Tamandua tetradactyla: one gene and its partners. The protein of the gene in region 3 purifies or fractionates together with the protein of the main gene of each other region. This does not show direct contact. Links are inferred from orthologs where the notes say so. Each region holds a gene or a part of one and is shown on either strand. Other genes may lie near its edges.

Evidence for each region.
Region 1: the proteins of AP2A1 (region 3) and EPS15 purify together in Homo sapiens (affinity purification with western blotting; 5 studies listed by BioGRID and IntAct, with this or other methods). This does not show direct contact. The link is inferred for Tamandua tetradactyla from reciprocal best matches to the Homo sapiens genes AP2A1 and EPS15.
Region 2: the proteins of AP2A1 (region 3) and OCRL purify together in Homo sapiens (affinity purification with mass spectrometry; 3 studies listed by BioGRID and IntAct, counting the BioPlex papers as one, with this or other methods). This does not show direct contact. The link is inferred for Tamandua tetradactyla from reciprocal best matches to the Homo sapiens genes AP2A1 and OCRL.

The regions. Positions count from the first base shown.
Region 1 is NC_135328.1:170,658,156-170,665,965, reverse strand, and holds the start of EPS15 (epidermal growth factor receptor substrate 15), read right to left. Parts: upstream 3,029-7,810; 5' UTR 2,866-3,028; coding exon 2,833-2,865; intron 1-2,832. UniProt on the Homo sapiens protein: Involved in cell growth regulation. May be involved in the regulation of mitogenic signals and control of cell proliferation. Involved in the internalization of ligand-inducible receptors of the receptor tyrosine kinase (RTK) type, in particular EGFR.
Region 2 is NC_135353.1:34,136,088-34,143,581, forward strand, and holds the start of OCRL (inositol polyphosphate 5-phosphatase OCRL), read right to left. Parts: upstream 3,029-7,494; 5' UTR 2,826-3,028; coding exon 2,787-2,825; intron 2,531-2,786; coding exon 2,451-2,530; intron 1-2,450. UniProt on the Homo sapiens protein: Catalyzes the hydrolysis of the 5-position phosphate of phosphatidylinositol 4,5-bisphosphate (PtdIns(4,5)P2) and phosphatidylinositol-3,4,5-bisphosphate (PtdIns(3,4,5)P3), with the greatest catalytic activity towards PtdIns(4,5)P2.
Region 3 is NC_135342.1:11,396,145-11,404,441, forward strand, and holds the start of AP2A1 (AP-2 complex subunit alpha-1), read right to left. Parts: upstream 3,306-8,297; 5' UTR 3,167-3,305; coding exon 3,100-3,166; intron 294-3,099; exon of another isoform or gene 85-293; intron 1-84. Other genes in the region: TSKS (testis-specific serine kinase substrate), read left to right, coding at 7,929-8,170.

The sequences.
Region 1 (7,810 bases), on a different chromosome or scaffold from region 3:
TCTATAAAACAGAAATGTTAAGAACTAGAAAGGTCCTTAGATCTGCTAGCTCAAACTCCCTTACTAGAATGTAAACTCCACGGAGGCAATAACTGTCATCTATTTTGTTCACTAGCATATCCTCAGTTGGCAGAGTTGAAAATGGAACTAGAGTTTCATTACTCTAATATTCTTATCCTCTCTAGAAGCTAATATACAATTTACTTTAGTTTGGGGGTTGGGAGATTGAGGGTTGGGTGGCAAGCAGGGGAAGAGGAAGGAAGGCATAAATTAAAATATTTTTCACATTTCCCTCCCCCGCAACTGTCAGTTGCGCTTAATCAATAAAGGCAGAAAATCATAAACAAGACAATCCCAACACAGTGTCTAGCACATAATACTTAAATATTTGTTAAAATGAACCTACCTCAAACCCATCATTATCTCACAACCAGAGGCAGAAACTAATTTCAGTATCCTTTTAATCTTTATAACTGCCATAGAGTGTTTTAGAATTTTCAATCATTCATTTGACAAACATTGACTAATCATTTTCTTCAAGATGGGCACTGGGGGAGAGAGAGGAATTAAAAGCTACCCTTGCCCTGAAGGATTTCTCACTCCAGTATGCCTACATGTTGGGGGAGGGGGAAAAGGGTGAGGAAGGCAGGGGGTGACATAAATATATCAATAATGAATGTGAGACCAGATTGCATTATCTCAAATTAAGCAGTTAAACTCAAGCAGTTAAAAAATGTTTTTAATTAAAAACCTACATATCTGCAAAGTTCTACAATAACAAGGAGGCACATTAGTGTATACTAACAATTGAAAAGGTTCTTTTTTACTGGGCCTTTACAATATATCTCACTGCCTTTCAATATTCTAAAATCAAAATAGTCTAAAGTGATTTTTTCGAATTATCAATATAAATGAACCATCAATGTAGTATGTTCTCTCATCTTTGAAACACTGAGGAACAACACTCGTTCCTAATTCATCATTTACTGTGGGTACAGGTTAACTCCTAAATATATAACTACAAGAACATAAATCACTTAGGTGACTACAAACCTGATAGAACCTGAAGCAAATCACCAAAATGAATGAGAGAAAAGAGATATTTTAAAAACAGTATTACCCAGGGAGAAACTAAAGTTTACACACAACTAAGAAGCAAATCTATAAAAGTCTTCAAAAGAACAAAAGTATCAGAGGAGAAAACTCCTGCCAGAATTAGCCAAGAGAGCCAAAGAGCAGTAGCCTGCCAAAAGGGATCTTGTTTAGTACATGTCACTAACTACACTCAGAAAGCTAACACCCAAAAGTCAATGTTGCCATTCTTCAAATTTGAATTTCAGGCAGACCCTTCCAAAGAGATTCAAGACCAAGACTCTAGCCACCACATTCCATATTAAAGGGGTCTTCCCTGCTATCTGCTTTTCAAATCAGGATAACTAACACCAAATAAATGCAGAAATAAACATTCACTTATGAGACTGTTATTTCCTGCAAACTGAAGTTTGTTATTTTACCTGCAGCACTTGTTCATTAGTAACTCCTGGTTCCTGGGAGAAGACATTTATCACTAAGTTTCTGTTGTGGAGTACTAGGCACAAAATAGCAAGGCCTCTTGTTTCTACACAGAAGATCCTACTGCCTTATTAAACACCGACAAATCCAAGCCAAGAAGACTACAAGGTAACAGAAAAATTCCACACGGTGGGCAGGAAGGTTGGGCCCCAACATGGAAGTATATGGCCCTGTTCGGGTCAGAGGGAGAGGAAGGGATTGGCAGACACCTGTCATCTCATCATACCGGCTATCATACTGGCCAACTACAATTGGCTTTCTTTGACAGAGAGGGAGGAAAGAGGTTCTCTGAGTAAGTGATGTTGGGAGGTCTTCTGTGAAGCACAAGGACTGGTCTCTGAAGGAAGCAAAAAGGCAAGAGGAAAAGACCTTAAAGAACAGATTTTGGTGAAGATTCCCCAGGACAAGTAATCTCAGTGAATGTTCCCAGGACCAAGACTAGAGGAAGCAAACGCTTGTTTCAAGGCTGTTTCCCTCTTGTACGCTTGGAGAGGGATTAAGTGAGAGCCCACCTGGCAGGGGTGGAGGTGGATTTGGAAAGGAAAAGACTCGAAATCGGGATCTGGCCCAGAAGATAACCTGACCGGGAGGGGAAGAAACTCAACTCAATAAGGAGTTAGCAGAGTGAGTACATTGATAGGATGAGGATGACTGAAGAAAACTGCTGGGGAGGAGGGTGATTTCATTGGACTCCAGTAGGCAAAAAAAAAAAAAGCCGACTTAAAGGGGAAAGACTAGTTTCGAGTGAGCTTGTGCGTCGGGAAGGTAATTCTGAGGGGGGAAGCGCGCTGCCTTGCCAAGAGGGCGAGCCTCGTGCGGGGCGAGGGCTGAAGCAGGGGGTCAGGATGGTCCACGCGAGCTCAACACGGAGCTCACCTGGGAGTGCGTCTGGCCTGGAAGAAGGAAACTTTCTTGGGTCGGTGAAAGCTGACTGGAGTGAGAAGGGCCGGGCATGGGTTGATCCAAGCGGGGGACACGGTCCACTCAGCAGCGGCGAAGAGGGGCCGGTCGGGGGGCGAGGGGGGGGCACTGAGGGACCCGGGGCGGGGTCGCGGCTGCCGTCGCTGAGCTACCGGCTCGGGATGGCGCCCTCCCCCAGTCACTCACACGCTGCTTCTCATCAACACCGGCCGCCAGGCTAGCGAACCTGGAGAAGCTGCCCGGGTCGGCGAACCTAACGACAGTGGGGGAAGAAGTCTGGAGCCACGAATAGGCCAGGCACCGGCCGGGGGACCCCGGCGGCCGGGCGGGTGGCGTTACCTGTGTCAGGGAAAGCTGGGCCGCCGCAGCCATGGTGTTTCCATCATGCACAGGAGGGGAAGGAAGGACTGGCGGACGGAGACTCGGGCGGGGAGGAGGCGGAGGGAGCGGCCGGAGGCGAGGCCCGGGCAGGCGGGCGTCTACCCCAACTTCGACAACTTCCCTCCTCTTGCCCGCCCCGCCCCGCCTGGCCCCGCCCCCCGCCCGCCCGGCGAAGGCCGCGGCGGAACCCAAACCTCGGCACTGGAGTTTGAGCCGCCAGACCGGAGCTGCCTGTCCTCGGGGCTGCCTGAGAAAAGCCCGCGCGAATAGGAAATTAAGGCAGACGGGGCTGCGGAGTGGGAGGGGAATCCTGATTGTCCTGTGATCTTTGGGCAGGTCACCTACCTAGTCCGGAGCTTCTGTTTTTTGAAAAATGGGAGAAATTTATACCCACAGTCCAGGTAGCTTGTGAGGGCTAAATGAGATAATAATGGTAAAGAATAACAGCACTTTGTATGTCCCAGGCTCTGTGCCAGACGCTTTAATTTTTTTAATTGTATGAATGAGGGAACTGAGACGCAAATAAGTGTCTTGCCTAAGATCATACACCTGAGTAGATAAACTGGATTAGAATCCAGGTCTGACTCCAAAATCTTTCATTTAACCATCTACTATTGGAGTATGATATCACTGTCTCTCCAAGTCAAAATCTAGGTGAGAGGGGGAAAAAAATCCTTTCCTCGCCTGCTGGCTGCCGCAAATGGATTGGCCAATAAAAGAACACAGCCCTGCTTAGATGCCTGCATCACCTCCTAACTCTTGCTTTAATCTATCTAGCAAACTCCTCCTCATTCCTTCAGACGAAACTCAAGTGTCAACTCCTCTGGAAAACTATTTCCTGACCTCTTCAAATCAGAGTTACTCTCTTCTTCAGTTCAACATTTCTTCTTTTAGGAAGTCATCATCACCTGAATGACTGTTTATATCTGTTTTCTTGCTAGACTGAGCTCCTCAATGACAACGGCTGTTTCTGATATATTTCTGTCCTCAGACCTTAGCATGTAGTAGGTGCTCAGTGAGTGTTTGCATGTCTTAGTCCCTGCCTGCATTAAATGTAAGACTTCCTAGACTTTCCCATGCTGCCACCTTCAGTTGGAATAACCAACCAGTCATTTGAAACCCTCATCTTCAAAGGTCTGGCTTATATGCCATCTCCTTCAAGAAGCCTTCTAGGAATTCCCCACCCCACCTCTTAATTGCTCTGATACGATCCTTATTACAATCTGCCTTGTTTTTAAGAGTTAGTTGAGGGCTTGTCTACACCCCACTAAACTGAGGACATATGGCCGACTCTCTACCACAACCACTCACAGTTTAACCCAGCCCAGAGAGCGCTTCGATAAATATCTTTGCCCAGAACTGGTCTCCCTTTCTCAGTCACTGTGGCTTCCCATGACAATTAACCACAACTCTATCAAGCCCACACCCCTGATACCATTATCATAGCAGTCCTCATTTGATGCCCTAGGAGCGCCAATTGAACAAACCCATGATGGAGCTGACCCCACCTAAGTTTTTAGACCTTTTCCACTATAGGCAAACCATCCCAAAAATGTCCCCAGGGACACCTAACTTTGCTCAGACCCCTTCAACAAGGTCCATCCATTAAGAGCAAGTAATACAGGTCTGTTGTGCAATCACTTATTTAACAAAGAGTCTTCCTTGGCCTCTTTTTGCTATTTTTCTTTTTGCCTCAAGGGTGAAGGGGAGACACTGTTTTAAATGACTCTGCTTTGGTATGTTTATCAGCTAGAACCACAACTGATGTCTCTATTGGAATTTTCTATTTCATGTTATCACATTTGAGCTTCACAGCCACCTGAGAAGATAGTGATCATCATATGCACCTTACAGATGAGGAAACTGGGCATAACAGAGACTAAAGGGATTTTCCCAGTCACACTGCTAATAGCCAAAGCAGTGTAGTGTAGTGGAAAAGCAGTGCAGTGTGATACTGTGAACTAGTAATTGTATACATGGATGATTTGTATGGTGTGTGAATATATCTCAATAAAATTGCATTAAGAAAAAAAAAGCAGTGCAGTGTAGTGGAAAAAACAGTGCTCAGACATCAGAAACACCCATTTTCTAGCTGTAAGACATTAAGGTAGTTGTGAAGATAAATGAGATAAGATGTAGGAAAATGCCTAAAGCTGTAGGTACATGAATTTAGTTAAGAAATCTGAAAGTGGTAGAGCAACTTGATTTTGGGAGTTTACTTTTACTTGCTGTTCCAGTCTGCTAGCTGCCGGAATGCAATATACCAGAAATGGAATGGCTTTTAAAAGAGGGAATTTATTAAGTTGCAAATTTATAGTTCTAAGGCCATGAAAATGACCTAATTAAAGCAAGTCTATAAAAATGTCCAAATTAAGGCACCAACAAGAGGTTACCTTCACTCAAGAAAGGCTGATGAAGTTCAGGGTTTCTCTCTCAGCTGGAAAGACACATGGAGAACATGATGACATCTGCTAGCTTTCTCTTCAGGCTTCTTGTTTCGTGAAGACGTTTTCCTTCTTAATCTCCAAGGGCGTCTGGCTGCATAGGCTCTCATGGTTCTTAGGAGTCTGCTCTGTTGCTCTCTCTTTCTCCAAAATGCTTCCTCTTTTAAAAGATTCTAGTAAACAAGTCAAAACCCACCTGGAATTGGTGGAGTCACAGCTCCCTCTAATCCGAGGTTAATAGCCACAATTGGGTGAGTCACATCTCCATGGAGATAATCTAATTGAGTTTCCAGTGTATAGTACAGAATAGAGATTAAAAGAAATGGTTGCTCTCACTGGATCAGGATTAAAACATGACTTTTCTAGGGTACATAAATCCTTTCAAACCAACACACTTGCTGTTCAAGAAGTCTCCTCCAAACCATATAAGATACAAGATGTTATTCTGGTTGAATAGAGTCGAGTCCCTGGTGTACACACTCCTAGAAAAGGAGTGTGCAGTAGTAACACTGAAATAGAATATTGAAGTCATTTAGTATGTGAGTTCAGACAGAGCATTTAAATTATCTGAACTTCAATCTCTCATATGTGAAAATTAGCAAATCACAGTTTGCTAATCACAAAATTAGCAGTATGGAAGTTTTTGAGGAAATATAAGGAATTATTATTATTTAATACAACTTATAATAAGTAGAAAATGGCAGCTAATATTTGTGCAGTATTGCTCCTCACAGTTTATAAATGTTTTTACATACAACATTTAGCACAACTTCTGGCATCTAGTAGTTGTGGCGAAAGTGTTAAACAGAACTATATACATAATCTCATTTGTAATTATTTGGATCTCCATTTCATACATGAGAAAACCAAAGAACACATTTTTTATAACTAATTTGTTTAAGGAAGGATCACTGAAAGCAGATTTGGGCCTTAGAGAAGAAAAAGAAAAGGGAAGGGAAGGGAAGAAAAGAAAAGGGAAAGGAAAAAAGAAAAGAAAATGTGCTAGTTTGAAACTGTTATGTATATGTACCCCAGAAAAGCCATGTTCTTTTAATCTAATCTTGTGGGGGTAGACATATTGTTGGGTAAGACCTTTTGATTAGGTTATTTGACCCCACCCATTCAAAGTGAGTCTTAATCTACTTACTGGAGTCCTTTCAGAGAGACATTTTGGAGAAAAGCACAAATGCTTGAAGAAAGAAAATGCCCCAGCAGAAACCAGAAGGACCCACAGGAGCTGAGAGCCATTTTGAAACCAACCCAGGAGAGAAGAGCCAGCAGACGTCACCATGTGCCCTCCCATGTGACAGAGGAACCCAGATGCAGTTGGCCTTACTTCAGTGAAGGTTTCCTCTTGTTAATGCCTTAATTTGGACATTTCCATGCCCTAGAATTGTAACTTAATAAATCCCCTTTTTAAAAGCCAGTGCTGGGGTGCACGGGTAGTTCAGTGGTTAGAATTCCTGCCTTCCATGCAGGAGACCTGAGTTCAATTCCTGGACCATGCACCACCACCAACAACAACCCAAAAAAAATGCAGAAAAGCCAATGCTTTAGTGCGGTGCAATGGTGGCTCAGTGGCAGAATTCTCATCTGCCATGCCAGAGACCTGGGTTTAATTTCTGGCTGCCCATGCAGGAAAAAAAAAAAAAAATCCAATGCTTTAGCAGACCAAAACAGAAGAGAGAAAAATTTTATGAAATTTGCCCCAGGCTCCCTTCCATACTACCAATAATTTGTGCCACCAACTTCCTCCCCTCCTTGGCTCTGGATTAAATCAATAACTTGATAAGTAGTAGGGGATGGAAGCAGGTCTACAGGGGTGGGAGAAAATGGTCCAAACTCCTAAAAAGGCCTAAAACGTCTGGAACTGGATTTTTTAAACTGACACAGCAGTGATAGTTTGCAAATGTGTGTCCCAGATCTCATCAAAGCACTAGGTCATATCCCAAATCTATTTTAGGAGAGCAAAATGTAGCTAATGGAAGATATGTTATGATCTAATTCACTGTAACAAGAATGAGCTTCAAGGAGCAGACTAAAAAGACTTACCTGTTTTTTCTAGGACACTTTAAAGCCTCTGGGTCTCTAAGCCTCTGATTCCTCATGTGTACATTGTAGATAATACTTACCCTGTAGGGTGGTGTAAGGATTAGAGACAATACATAAATGGCCTATCAAAAAACCTGGCCTAAAATTTGTATCTTGGGTAGCACATTACCTAATTTAACTCATATGGCCTGTTTAGTTGAACGCTGTAAGTACATGGAATCTTGAATAGGGCATGAGATCTTGTTGGTCTGTCCAGGTTAATGTAATGCCCTGATAAATCCCAGAGTAATTTGGGCAGTAAATAAGGAAGTATTTGCAAAGTCCCCTTGGGGGACTGGGAAGAAAGGGGGAAATATTCAACTTCCCCAACTGGAGAATTTCTGATATTCTCACAAGCAGTGGGGACAACCAAATCAATAGGCTGAGCCCTCAGTCCTGGG
Region 2 (7,494 bases), on a different chromosome or scaffold from region 3:
TTTGTTTTGTATATATGTTATACTATACAATTTAAAAAGTAAAAAAAAATTCTACTGAAATGTAATAATTCGTTTCAGAACAAAAAAGATTTGTTAAAAAGGCATATGGCAAAACAATGGAATCAGAATTTGATAGATGTCAAACAGAAATCAGTATTTGACATATTGTCAATGCTGACTCAGCATTATTCCTAGGAAACACATATTTTGATTTAAGGTGAACTAACAGGTACTATCATAATCTATTATCCTTGAGAAAAAGAAATGAACCCTAGTGTTTTGATGTCTCATTTCCAAAATATTTAGTTTTAATTGTAACATTGGTCTGTCAAGCAAATTTCTCCTGTGGTTGATTGGAAAAGCTCCAGATGTAAAGATTAAGATAGGCTTCAAGTTCTAGGATAAAAAGGTCAAAGGTAAAAAAAGTTCTGGACACCAAAGACAGAGAAGGTACCCAAGAAACAAGAATTTAAGGATCATAGATGGCATTAGGGTATTAGGGGATTCTAAGAAATTATTTCAAAAAGCAGACCACATAATTCTGAGATAGGTTACTGAAATGGTAGCCTCCGTACACAGCTGGGAGACAGCATAGAGTAATTAAGAGCTGGAGTAGCTGAGCTATGTTGCATAGATTCAAATCTCAAGTATGCTACTTCCTAACTGTGACCAAGTGACAAACTTGTGCCTCAATTTCTACATTGATAAAAGGGGAACAATGATGATATTATTACTTTTTCATATTAACCCTCATATGAAAAGTGCTTTGAATAGTACCTGGCACATATTAAAACCATTAAATGTTAGTTATTATACTCGTAACTTGCACAGAATTCTAATACAAGAATTTGATTTCTCTATGGGGAGGATTCAAATAGAACAGCCACTGCTGCAAGTTTAAAAGTACTTCTAGTACAAGAGCCCAGACAGGATGAAGTGCTCATGTCAAGGCCAGTCATTCACTCCCTTATTAGCCAAGTAAGCTGCAAACCTACTAAACCAAGGAACCAGATCCTGGGCTGTGATCACCTCAACAAAGCAGTTATTTTAACTAATCCTCATAATCATATTTGGCATAAAAGGAAAATAAGAGATAAAAATTTCATTGGTTTGCCCAAGAGTCACATCTCAAAAATAGCAGAAATGAGATTTCAACCTAGGCTCTGCATTCCAAATCCATTCTCTCTGCCCTATCCTAGCCTTGGAAGTGTCAGTTTGTTTCAGTTTTCAATTCACTTGTCTATTGAATTTAGTTTTATTAAACCAGTCTTCCAGGGATTGAGGAAACCTGGGAAAAACAATATGAATTTCCGACATCAACAGAACTGACTAAGCAGGACCTAGGGAAGAACTACTTTTATAGAATCAGGTGATGCTAAATTAAAGTGGCACCAACAGTGCAAGAAGTGGGCAGCCTAGGCTAGTGGGAATTTCTTTTAGGTTTAGACAGCACAGACACAAATCCAGTCTAGAGTCTGAAAGCAGGAATTCAGAGATACTGTTTTTAGGCAGAATCCAATGATGGGAGATGGTAGGATTTAAGTGGTCAACAACTTTTAAACTCAGAAGAAATCAAGAAATGCAGTGGACGCCCAAGAGAGGAGGCTTGGGCACATGTGGATGGGATAAGATGGTCACTATGGGAAATTTTTGAGATGAGGCTTTAGTGGCAAGGGAGTGAGATTAGCAGCTATATAATGACAGCTTATGAAAACAATCTTTTGCTCAATCAGTCAGCAGTCTTACTGAGCTCCTATGTGCAAGGCAGAAATAGAGTGGAAGGTGATACACTGATAAAATGTCAAATGTTTATACTTTTTCACATTTCATCACCTTTTCTCTACCAATGTGTGAGGCCAATGTGTGAGGCAGTTACTGGCTTCCACTAAACCATTACTGAATTAATGACCCTGCCTTGGGGCAAGTTGCAGGTCTTTGAATTTTATGGAATAGGGGGGTGGGGAGACTGGAGGAACCAGTTGAATGGGGTTAAGAAAAGGCAAGCCTGTAAGTTTAACAATGAAGCCTTTCTACAGGGCTTTTACTTTTCCTAAAACACTTCTGCATTTATGATTCCCCCAGTTACAACTCCAAAGAATGGCTATAAGGTAAGGTAGTTAATATTTTTATTTAACCGGTGACAAAACTAAGGCCCAGAAAGCTTTATTAACTTGCCCAAGGTTACACAACACACGTCAATTGCAGGGGCAGGAACTAAGAACCCAGGCTTCCTCCCTGTTCACGGAGTCCTCCCACTGAGCGATATAGACGCAATCTACCACTTAACGCAGGGGGAGAGCCCCGCCGTTGGAGAGCACTCTCGCACTTCACACCTGGGTCTGAACCTGTTGCCCGCAAAACCCCAGAGGGAAGAGGGTGGATGGTCGTGGTTTGGGGTTGGGAGGTAAGGGGAGGCTCCTCTCTTCTGTGGGAATCAGGTGGTTACTTACTCATATTGTCCGTTCCTCTGGGCTAGGGTCAGAGCGCAGGGTTCCCGGAGGGGCCCTTTCATCTCCATACCCTCGATAGTATGCGGACGCTAGTCAAGGGTCTCTGGAATCACGGCCGGAGAGGGGTGGCGTGGTGCGGTGCCGAGGCAGCCTGTCGCCCCTCCGCCCGCCCTCCCTGGCCCCCAGGCATCGCCTCCCGCGCCAGCGCCCCCTCCCCCTGCTCTGCTCGGCGGTTTCTCCAACTAGCCGACACCCTCCCCGGTGTTCCACAGTTCCCCCCCGATCCCCATCCCCGGGCCGATACGGCTCCCCCTCCCCCTTATCTCAGGCGGATACGGCAAGGGGCTGGGCTCCGACCGGGAACGGCGGCTCCATTGGGGAGGCCTCCGGGATCAGCGGGACTGCAGACTGCGGGCGGATCCAACGACGCTGCCTCCCTTGCCCTCACACCCACCTGCCTGCGCTACGCTTACTTTGCAGAACGGCTCAGCGCCGCCAGCCTCGACCCGGGAGCCCAGAGCCCGGAGCCGGGAGCTGAGAGCTTGATCCGAGAGAGAGCGGCGCCTCGCGCCCCCGCCAGTTTCCCAGGCCGCCGCAGATTCCGCCCTCTGCGGCCAAGCTGTGGAACTGCAGTGACAGACACGACGGACTGGGGGCGTCTTTACCATGTCCAGCAAGGAATGCATCTTAAATACTACCTGTGACGCCAGCATTGTTCTGGGGACTTTGAACAAAATGCAGTCATAACTATCAGGGGGCTCAAAAGGTGTTGGGCTAATCGGACTCATATCAAATCTAGTCGAAAAATCCTTATTACTGTTATAATGCACTATGCGGGTTATCCTATCTCTCAGATGTTCTTCTACCCTTCCTCTTCTTTCCACCCCCTAAACCAGAAAATTCCTCAAAGCTCAGACTCTTGCTCCTCCTCTGTCCCCTCTCAAGGTGATCTCTAGGCAGGGAACGTCCAAATATATATCCCTGGCACAGACCTCATATTTAATATACCCCATTGTTAACAAAATACACAAAACCGTATAACAAATCAAACTCATCATTTCACACAGGGGTCTAGGCTTGAAACTTCAAAGCCATATGCTTTCCTCTCTCTCCTGCTTTCTCTGTATCCATTCAACTTTGTTAATATTTTGGGGGGAATTACTTTTAGATTCCTTGTTTTCTCTCCATTTGTTTTATTTTCAGCCTTTGTGATATCCTATCTGGGTTACTGCATTTCCCCCCAAATGAATCTCGTTGTCTTTAATCACTGTTTTAACTATTTTATTCTCTTTACAGTGATAAGAATATTTTTCCCAGAGCAGTGTTTTAATTACTTTTATTCATTTGCTCAAGAATCTCTAGTGGACGAGATACCAAGAGTGATTCTAAAACTATAGTAATTAAGACAGTATGGTTTGGAGATAGATGGATCAATGGAACAATATATAGAACAGACCCACACATATATGGAAAGTTGATATTCAGCAACTGTGCTCGTTTGAAAGGATTATGTACCCTAGAAAAGCCATGTTTTAATGCCGACCCATCATGTGGAGGCAGCTGTTTCTTTTAATCCCTATTCAGTACTGTAGGTTGGAAACTTGATTAGATCATCTCCACGGAGATGTGACTCATCCATTGTGAGTATTAAGCTTTGATTAGAGGGAGATGTGACTCCACCCATTCCAGGTGGGTCTTGATTAGTTTACTGGAATCCTTTAAAAGAGGAAACATTTTGGAAAAAGCTTCAGAACCAAGAGAACCATGAGAGCCCATGCAGCCAGAGACCTTCGGAGATGAAGAAGAAAAATGCCCCCTCGGGGAGCTTCATGAAACAAGAAGCCAGGAGAGAAAGCTAGCAGATGTCACCATGTTCACCATGTGCTTTTCCAGTTGAGAGAGAAACCCTGAACGTCATTGGACTTCTTGAACCAAGGTATCTTTCCCTGGATGCCTTAGATTGGACATTTCTATATCCATGCTTTAATTTGGACATTTTCATGGCTTTAGAACTGTAAACTTGCAACTAAATAAATCCCCCCCCCCCTTGTTTTTGAATGCTGTATGGTGGGATCACATTTCATTTAAATTCCCCTTTTTAAAAGCTGTTCTGTTTCTCGTATATCACATTCCGGCAGCTAGCAAACTAGAACAGAATATATGACATTTTAAAACAGCAGGGAAAGACCAGATTATCCACTAAATGGTGCTGGGGCTATTGAGTATGCATATGGAAAATTATAAAATTTTCCTACCTCGCACCATATAGGAAAAACATTATTTTAGGTGGATTAAAGATATAAATGTGAAAAGCAAGATTTTACAACTTTCAGAAGAAAATAGGAGAATATCTGTACAACCTTGGAATAGGGAATGAGAGTGATTACTTAAGACACTGGAAAGTATAAAGAATTAAGTGCAATGATTGATAAGTGTGACCATGTTAAATTTCAAAATATATGGCTTCAAGTCAACTTAACCTAGTTAAAAGACAAGCCACAGACTGGGAGAAGATATTCCCAAGGCATGTGACCAAGAAAGGATGACTTCACGACTTCTGGCTATCATCACCTTTCTGACTTCCTCTCCTGCCACGTTCTCCAACTCACTCTGTTTAGTCACATGGATTCCTTGCTGACCTTAGGACTAATCAGGCCTTTGCACGTGCTGTGCATTCTGCCTGTTCCCTCACACCCTTCAGGTCTTTGCTCAAATGTCACTTTCTCAGTGAGACCTTCCCAGATCACTTTATTTAAAATTGTAATTTGATAATCCCCTTCCCACACATGCTCCCTATCCCTCTTCTCTGTTTATTTTCTCTCTGTAGGATTGACCAGTATCTGTTGTATCTTTATTTTATTTATCAATCTAAATTATTGTTTACTTTCCTCCATACAATGTAAGCTCCTTTAGGGCAGGTGTTTTTGTCTGTTTTGTTTATAGCTGTATTCTTTTTTTTTTTAATTTTTATTGTCAAACCTTAACAAACATACTAACATTCCTAATATAAAAACATTCCTGACATACATTCTATAAATGGTGTACAATCAATGGCTCACAATATCATAGTTGTGTATTCATCACCATCATAATTTTTTGAACATTTGCATCTCTCCAGCAAAAGAAAGAAGAAAAAGCTCATATATCTCATACCCCTTACCCCTCCCTCTCATTGACCACTAGTATTTCAGTCTACTCAATTTATTTTAACCTTTGTTTGCCCTATTGTTTGTTTATTTTTTATCCATACTTTTTACTCATCTGTCCATACCCTAGATAAAAGGAGCATCAGACACATGGTTTTCACAAATCACACATCCACATTGTAAAAGCTATATCATTATACAATCATCTTTAAGAAACATGGCTACTGGAACACAGCTCTACAATTTCAGGTACTCCCCTATAGCCATTCCAATACACCATAAACTAAAAAGGGGATATCTATATAGTGCATAAGAATAACCTCCAGATTAACCTCTCGGCTCTGTTTGAAATCTCTCAGCCACTGACGCTTTATTTTGTCTCATTTCTCTTTCCCCTCTTTTGGTTGAGAAGGTTGTCTCAGTCTCTTGATGCCAAGTCCCAGCTATCCCAGGATTCCTGTCCCATATTGCCAGGGAAGTTTACACCCCTGGGAGTCACGTCCCACGTAGAGGGGGAGGGCAGTGAGTTCACTTCCCATGTCGGTTTAGAGAAAGGCCACACCTGAGCAACAAACGAGGCTCTCTGAGGGTGACTCTTAGGCCTAATTTTAAGTAGGTTTAGCCTGTCCTTTGCAGGCATAAGTTTCATAGGGGCAAACCCCAAGATCGAGGGCTCAGCCTATTGATTTGGTTGTCCCCACTATTTGCAAGAATATCAGGAATTCTCCAAATGGGGAAGTTGAATACTTCCTCCTTTCTTCCCATTCCCCCAAGGGGACTTTGCAAATACTTCTTTATTCACTGTTCAAATCACTCTGGGATTTATCGGGGCATCACATATAGCTGTATTCTTAGTACTTAGAACTGTTCCTGAGATAAAGGAGATGCACAAAAAATACTGATTAAATGTATGAATGTATAGAGAACTAAAAATCAGTAAGAAAAAAGCCAGATAGAAAAGTTGACAAAATATATGAATCAGCTATTCACAGTCAAGGAAACCCAACTGGCCAATAAAGATATGAAAGAATGCTCAGTTTTATTACTATTCAGGAAAATGCAAATGTAAACCATGAGATACCATGACTGCTAAAAGGAGGATAAATTGGTAGAACTGCTTTGAAGTGCAATCTGACAACGTCTAATAAAATTGAATATGTAATACCCTTCAAACCAGAAACTTCATTTCTATGTATAAACCCTGACAAAACTCTAACCTTTAAGCACAAGGAGACATGTAAAAGAACATTCATTGCAGCATTATTTGTAATCTCAAAAAAAACTTGGAAGCACCTTAAATGTTCATTGGTAAGTGAATGGATGAATAAATCATTGTATTCATGAAGTTAATACTATCTTGAAATGAAAAAGAATTAATTAGTGCTAAATGTATGACATGTTTAAATCTCAAAAATATAATGCTTAGCAAAAAGAGCAAATTGCAATACATATATATAGTATGCCAGTTATATAAAGCTTGAAAATATCTGTTGTTTATGGCTATCTAGATCTGTAGTGATAGTATATAAAACATCATCACCAAATTTTTTTTTGTTTTTTAATTTTTTTACATGGGCAGGCACCAGGAATAGAACCCGAGTCCTCAGGCATGGCAGGCAAGCACTCTTACCTGCTGAGCCACTGTGGCCTGCCCATCACCACCAAATTTAAGGAAGGAAGATGATTGCGATTGGTGAGGGGTACACTGAGAATACAGACTGTATCTGTAATATGTATTTTCTTAAACACAACCTGAAAGTTAGTGTTGTAAGATTTGATATAACTGGGTGGTGGGTACCTACATTGATTATGTTACTCTATGTATTTTCCTGCATTTGGAATCGTTTGCAATATTTGAAAATGAAAAATAAAGAAAAATGTGTAGGGGAGGTTAGCGG
Region 3 (8,297 bases):
CCTCCCCACGGCAACCGTTAATTTGCTTCCTATCTATGGATTTGTCTATTCCTGATATTTCACATAAATGGAAGCACATAATACATGGCCTTTTGTGTCTGGCTTCTTTCACTCAGCGTCAAGTTTTTGAAGTTCATCCATGTCGAAGCAGGTTTCAGAACTTCACTCCTTTTCATGGCTGAATAAAATTCCAATGTACGGACAGGCCACATTTTGTTCTCCAGTGCATCGCTCAATGGACTTTTGGGTTGTTCCCACTTAGGGGCTACTGCAGACAGTAGTGCTGTGAACATCTGTGTACAAAATTTGGTGAAAGCAGCTACAATTTTACGCAGTAAATTTATACACCTGCCCTGGGGCTGTTCGCTCCACAGATGCAGGGGAACCCAACTTATTCACTGCTGTGTCCACAGCACCCCACTCCAGCCGGAAGCACAGCAGTGGAGCTGCTAGAGAAAGGAAGGGCAAGAGGACCCCCGGCTTTCCAGTCTGAATTCCTCTGGCTGAATTCCCTCGGCTGCCCCCAGGTCTGAGGCTCCCCTTCTCTCCTCTGGCTCCCTCTGGGGTCTTGCAGTGACATCTACCTGTTTCCCCTTTCCTTCCCTACTTTTTATCATTCCAGCCCTTTGCATACCCTATCAGCTTTTCTTCAAAATGTGCCCCAAGGGCGGGCCACGGTGGCTCAGCAAGCAAGAATACTTGCCTGCAATGCCAGAGGACCTGGGTTCGATTCCTGGTGCCTGCCCATGTAAAGAAAAAAAAAAACGTGCCCCAAATCCAACCACTGTCCCTTGCAGTCCCCGTCTGGATGCCTGCAGCAGCCTCATCTGCTTCCCCACTCCTGCTCCTACCTCTTCAGTCTGCTCTCTTCACAGCCGCCAGAGGAATTATTTTTAAACCCAAATCAGATCACACTGCTCTGATCAAAACCTTCCCGTGGCTCTTGTCTCACTCCAGAGAAAAGCCGAAGAGCCGGCTGTGGCCCACAAAACCCTACAAGGCCCGCCCCACTGCCCTCTGTCATCGCCTCCTGTCCTCTTCCCAGCCTCTGCTCCAGCTCCATATAAGGCCTCCGCACCCTTATCTGAACAAACTCATCAAGTGAGCTCCAACCTCAGGGCCCTTGAACACACTGAGTCCCCTGCCCGGGCCCCTCTTTCCTCTAAAATCTGCAGGACTTGCTCCCTCACATCACACCAAGTCTCCACTGGATTGTCACCTCCTCAGCGAGGACTTCAAACTGACCACTCTCTCCATGCCGGTCATTCTCCATCCCTTTTCTGCCTTATTTTCCTTCACGACCGTCACTTGATGTTGTGCCATTGATTGTTCTCCTTGTGTGTTTATTTCCATCTCCCTCATGGAATGGAAACTGCCAAGAGCAGGGGCTCCTGTTCTCTGTTGCAGCCCCTGGTGACTAGGATGGTGCCTGGGACCCCACAGTGATCAAACAACATTTGTCAAGTGAAGGAATGAATGAGCCTTAAGTGCCAAGGGGCTGTTATCAGTGCTGTCTACAGACAAGAAAATGGAGCCTCAAACAGGCCAAACGACTTATCCAGGGGACACCCTTGCCCAGGGACACCCACCTGGGAGGCACGGGAGAGAGCACACACTCAGTCCTAACAGCTGCCCCCCACCCCCCCTAGCCTGACTAACCACCCCTCATAATTCCCTCCCCTTTTCAAAATAACCCTAACTTCACCTCCATCAACTGGCACCCAATAGCTCCCATCCTTCCTGCCCACTGAGCACCTTCTACATCCCAGCTCCATTCATACCTACTGAATTCTAAAATAACCACTGGGCACTTAACAGGAGCCTCCGCAGATCCGGCAGAATGACAAAATAGCCGGTGTCCATCTGGTGCCTGGCACATGTGAAACGCCTCACACCCACCACACACAAGACCAAGACCACCCCATCAGGAAGGGGTGCTGGGCAGCCCATCTGACAGACAAGGCACCCGAGAGGTGAAGGCCCTCATTCAAGGTCACTTGGCACACAAATTCAAAGCCAGGACTGGCTAACCCCAGAGCCCACTCAGACACAGCCTGAGCTCCTGGCAGCTCTGAACACCAACGCCAGCCCCGGGAGCTGGGAGCTGACTTGGTGACAGGCCTCCCGTCCACACAACTTTTTCCGGCAGGGATCACTGACCCTAAACTGCTGTGGTCAGATGAGGAAACGCTTGGAGTCAGGGCTGTCCTGCTGCCTGACCCCTGATGTCTCTCGGGGACCATCACCACCACCCCCAATCCCACTCCTAGCTTTCCAGATCTCTCCCCACAAACCCCTCAGGCCCTCCTTCCTAGAGCTTTGGGCAACCCCCCACCCTACCCGATGGAACATTCCTCCAGCCTCATCCTACTCTTGAAATAAACTCCTCTCTTTTCCTGACCCCACGTGTCAGGTTCTCTCATGACTCCCTCCACAACCAGCCCTCTAGCCCCCTCCCCACTGCCCCCCATCTCTTCAGCCACCCCCCATCCTGGAAACCCCTATCTCTCACCAGGGTCCAACTACAGTCCCCCATCTCCCCTCCCCAAGCCCCCTGGGACTTCCTATCACTCCCAAGCCCCTTCTATACCCCTAGCAAGGAACCTGTGACCTATCCAGCCCTTCTCATCCATGACACCCCCTTTTCCAGGCGCTCAAGCCCTGCCCCACTAATCTTGCTGTGTTTCACGTCCTCGGTCCGCTCTAGCCTCCTGCCGCTCCACGGCGCCACAAGGAACCCCCCATGTACCTCCTTCAGTCCGGTCTACAGCAGGACCCCCCATCGCCCACAATGCAACCCACACTCCACCCACCCACGGTCAGCCTTTCCACCGTTCCCGAGGGACGCCGCCTGGCCCCCCCTCCCCTGGACCTCATGGGCCTCCCCTTCTCTGAGACCCTCCCGGGTCCTCCCCGTGTCGTCACCTCAAGAGGCACTCGATGACACCCGCAGCCCCTCCATCCCCGCCACCCTAAACTTCCCCCGGCGCCTCTCTGGCTGTGACCTCGCTGGCCTTCCACCCCCGGGGCCCTTCCACGGCCTCCGAAGCCCCCAAATCCACGCTCCCCCGCCCCAGTGTCCTCCGGCCGCGGGCTCACAGTTTCGGATGTCGGAGATGAACACCGCGAGCCCCCGCATCCCATCGCCCTTGGACACGGCCGGCATGATGGCGGGGGTGTCGGCTCCAGGCCTGGCCGGGCAGGGCACAGCGCAGCGGGGACTGGCGGGCGGCGACCAGGCGTAGAGAATCTCAGGCAGCGCCGAGGAGCCGGGCCGGGACTAAGGGGAGGGCGCGCGGGCGGGCGGACAGGCCGCGGCTCCGCCCCCGGGCCCCTCCCCTCGACTCCACCGCCCGGAACTGTCAGCCGCGGGTTGGCTGTGGCTACTGCCGCTAAGGCTAGGGCTCATCCCCTACTGCTTTCTAATTGGCCCTTAGGTAAAAGTACAGCGCTGCGATTGGTCCAGTACCCCGCTATTTCCGTTCGGGCACGGGGGAGGGAGCGGTGCCCAAGAGACGGGCTGGGTTCGGTTACGTACCGTGGGACCGCCCCCTCCGCGCTGCCGGGTCGGATACTGATTGGACCTGGCCTCTCTCCGAGAGGGGATGAAAAGACGTGAAGGAAGGCGGGGAAGCGGGCCTGAGGAGGCGGGACTTGAGTGCACAGAGGCCAGTGGAGGGGCAGATCACCCCCACAGGCATCGCGGATTTGCGGGGTCTGGCCTATTTCCGCCCTCGAGTGGGCGGGTGTGGGGGCGGGTGGAGGGCGATGATTGGTGGAGAAGGAAGGAGACGGGGAAGAGTCACTCAGCTGGTCTGGGATAGGTAGAGCGACGTCTGCAATTCCCTGCTGCAGAGAAGGGGTTGGGCGGGGCGAGAGTCTAGGAGGTGTTTACTGCGCAAGCGTCTCCTAGTTTCCCTTTTTCCCCCCCCCAATTCCTTAAATTCATTTGTAGGAGCATTCTCTCTTCCTTCCCGCCACCTTTCTCTAGATTCTAAGATGTCAGGACTTGGCTTGTCAGAAAACCTGGGATCTCACTGGAGAAGAACTGTATCCACGTCTAGTCCCATGAAACAGAAGTTAAACCTGAAGTCCAGAGACGTTGAGTGACTTGTCAAAGGTCACACAGCTCGGCAGCGGCAAAACTGAGATTTAAACTATATTTTGGCCTATAGCCACTTTTCATTGTTTTTTGTTTTGTTTTGTTTTGTTTTTCTTCAACAACAACGCCTCAGGTAACCTCCATTAGAGCAGATATCAAATAAAAATTGTGATTATCTTCACCAGATGCGCAGCTCCGCCTGGGCAAGAATGGAACCTTGTACTGCAAAGCTAAAAAGGAAAAAAAAATGCTTTTTGAAGTAAGGAATGGGTCAATCGGCTTTGGCCCGGCCCCTCGGCGCTCCGGAGACCCTGTTTGGTTGATTGGCTTTGGGGAAAACAAAGCTTCCAGAACTGCAGCGCCCTTGGCTATTGAGAAATTTGGGGCAAAGGGAAGTGGGAGAGTCCATTTCTGTCACCTCGAGGAACAAAACCCCACCCCACCACCCTTTTCTAATCTCAGAAGCCAAGTATCCCGGGAATGAGCCTTAGGGGAGTGTCCTGATCCTGGGAATGTCCACTCCGAATCCTGGGGGAATGGGTAAGAGCCCACCTCTCAGGTTCAGTGGATCCGTCCATTTGGATTTCCAAGAATAGGGTTTAGGAAAATACATTCTGCATCCTAGGGGGGGCTGTCTGGGCCGGCGAGTCCATTCCTAACACCGCGAAGGGGAGACTGGCTTCTCCTAGGGAACGTAGGGGCAATCCTATTTTAAAAATTGTATTATTAGGACCAGGAGTTGAACAAGTCCTTTTTTTAATGGAGGAAAACATTAAGCGTTCCAAGGACTTGTTCGTGGGTGACTTGGAGAGGACCACTTTGTCCCTGAAGAAATCGCCTTTAAAAGTATATAGTAGTAGTAGTGGAATTCAAACTAGTCCTGTTTGGGGGTTATGAGGAAGAGACGTGAGGGGTCGTTACGCACACACACACACAAAAACACCGCCACCACCGCCATGTCCCCCACAGAGCCCACCTAAGGACAAACAGATTTAACTCTGGGTTCTTGGTGTGGAGTGAAGGATGTCCTAGCCCCCTCCTGGGTATATGGGGGACTCAGCCTGGCCTCTCCTCCCTCAGGGAGCTCATTAATTGGCTGAAACTTAATTTTCAAGACTGGGCTTAAAGTAGAAGCGATCTAAGGTCTGATGAGGACCTGAGACTGGGGCAGGTTGAGGAGCCAGGGGCTGCCTTCCTGGGCCCTGGGCGTCTTGAGCCTGAGAAGGGATGGACATGGCTGACCCCCTTTGAGTTAGAATAGCACTGTCCACATAGAATTACAGTGAGGGGCGGGCCACGGTGGCTCAGCAGGTGAGAGTGCTTACCTGCCATGCCCGAGGACCCGGGGTTTGATTCCTGGTACCTGACCATGTGAAAAAAAAAAGAGATTTACAGTGAGAACCCTGGGTGTAATTTCCAATCTAGTTTTCAATTTCTAGCCACGTTAAAATAAATAAATAAACAGAAACAGGTGATCCTAACTTCCATAGTATATTTTAGTTAATCCAGTATCCAACTGTTATCATTTTAGCCTGTTTTATGTTCTTATTTTTGTAAATCTTTGGAATCCAGTAAACATACAGCCCGGCTCAGCTTGGACAAGCCACGTGGCCTGTGCTCAGCAGTCAGAGGCTCTCAGTAGGGTCAGGCAGGCTGGGGCCAGACCATTCTGGAAAGCTGGGGCTGATCTGCTGGTAAGTCACCTGGAAGACCAGGTCATGAACAAGTCCACCTTTGGAGGAGATCTAGGGAGGTGTGGTCAAGCCATGATAGGCTTTAAGATGGGACGGTAAGAGGGAACCTTGGGCACGCCAAGGAGCACATGGGTTGAGCCACTAGTAGAAGTTCTAAGACTTCCACCCGAGCAAGGCCACTCATGATGCACATCGGATTCTGATTTCCTCCAGAAGAACCAAACTTACCCCCGGTCTTCGCGTTTGGGCACCTGCCATAACTCCAGACATTTGTTCTGGAATCCTTCCCCACCCCTCCACCCAAACCAAATCAGGACACATCATGATGCCTGCAGCCACCCCATGGCCTGCCTCAGCCCCTTCCAGGCCACCACCCTCTGTTGCCTGGATCTTGGATTGCTTTCTTAAAGCCCTCTCTGCCCGGTCCTTCTGCAGCTTGGATTTTTAAAAATTTTTATTGTGGTGACATACATACAACCCCAAATTTCCCATTTTAACCACTTTCATGCATACGATTCAGCAATATTAATTACGTTCGCAGTATTGTGCCACCATCACCATCATCCTTTACCAAGAATTTTTCATCACCCTGAACAGAAACTCTGTACCCGTTAAGTAATCACTTCCCCTTCCCTCCCTCCAGCACCACCACCCCCATAACCTCATCCTACTTCCCCTCTCTATGCATTTGCTGATTCTGGTGAGTTCATGGAAGCAGAATCATGCATTTGGCTTATTTCGCTTAGCATCATGTTTTTTGATCGTTTGATCGCACTATTACTTCATCCCAATTGCCAGTTTCTGCTCCATCACTGCGTGATGAACATTTCTAAATACTCAGAAAAGTCAAAATCGCCATTGAGCCAACACCCTCTACCCCCACGTTGATTCCACCGTTAACATATTTCTTTACTTGCTTTATCACCTGTTTGTATGTGTACCCTTCCCTCTGTCCATCTGTACCTGACCCCAGATGCTTCAGCCTGCTTTTGGCTGGAACTTGATATTCACTTAGATTCTTTTTTGTTTTTGGGGGTGGTTTTTTTTTTTGCATTTTTAAAGTTTATTTATGAAACATAACCGCATACAAACACAAACATTCTTACCATATGATCATTCCATTCTTGTTATATAATCAGTAACTCACAGTATCATCACATAGTTGCATATTCATTATCATGATCATTTCTTAGAACATTTGCATCAATTCAGAAAAAGAAATAAAAAGAAAACAAAAAAATTCATACATACCATGCCCCTTACCCTTCCCTCTCATCGACCACTAGCATTTTAATCTACTAAACGTATTTTAACATTTGTTCACCTATTATTTAATTATTTTTAATCCATATGTTTTACTCATCTGTCCATAAGGTAGGTAAACGGAGCATCAGACACAAGGTTTTCACAATCACACAGTCGCATTGCGAAAGCTTTATCGTTATACAATCACGTTTAGATTCTTTTTCAGCAGGTAAAATGCACATGCAATAAGAGGCACAGACGTGCAGGGCACAAAGCGACATGTTTTGACAGAGGTATGTGCCTGCCGTCACCCCATTTCCATTCCCTTTCCATCATGCGTCCACGCCCAGTGTTTTTTTGTCTGTGCATCTGTCTTGTTGCTCCCCCGTAGGAAATGGTCAGGGGCTTACATCCGTGCTCATTGGCCACCACCTCCCAGGCCCCCCAAAAACACCAGATCCCCGGCATTGGGCCAACCATCAAGTATGAGAGTGGGGGGCTGTAATGACCCCACGTTTGTTCTCAGGAAGAGGGGAGTCAGAGGTCAGAGGACACCCCCCCCTCACCCCAGGAACCCCAGGGCCCACTTGTTGTAAGTCTTGAACTAAAATTTGAGGAGGTCCGGTGTGGCTCTGAGAGGCCGGGGGCACGCTGGGGTAGAATTGGAAGCCTCAGAGGTGGGGGTAGTCCATGAGAGTTTCTGGAAGGTTCCATGAGCCAGGGCCTCTCTCCCTTCCTGGGTCACCTCCCCTACCCCCACCCGGGGGCCCAGTTGGTTGGGCCCTTTGTGAGGCGGGCTGAGGGGGCAGGGGCTCTGAGGTTCAGCGGTCAGAGTAGGTGGCGAGTCTCAGAGGAAAGAGCCCCTGGGAGCAGGACCCCCCCATGCCATGGCGAGCGTGGTGGTGAAAACAATCTGGCAGTCCAAAGAAATTCACGAGGCCGGGGATCCCCCCGCGGGGGTCGAGAGCCGCTCCCAGCTGCTCCCAGAGGCCCCCGGGGGGGTGCTCAGCCCGGCCAAGGGGATCACGAAGAAAAAGAAGGCCGTGTCGTTCCACGGGTGGGTTTGTCGCACCCTGTCGGGGACGGTCCTAGCGCCCAGCGCTGCCTCCATCAGAGCCCAAGTCCCACCGTGGGTGCTGGAGGAAGGGGAGGGGGAGGGCAGAGGAGGCACAGCCAGAGGGCAGGGGCGAGGGGGGAGGGGAAGGAAGAAGGCAGAGTGCAAGGGGCAGAGGCAGACACAGTAGAGGGGAGGGCAG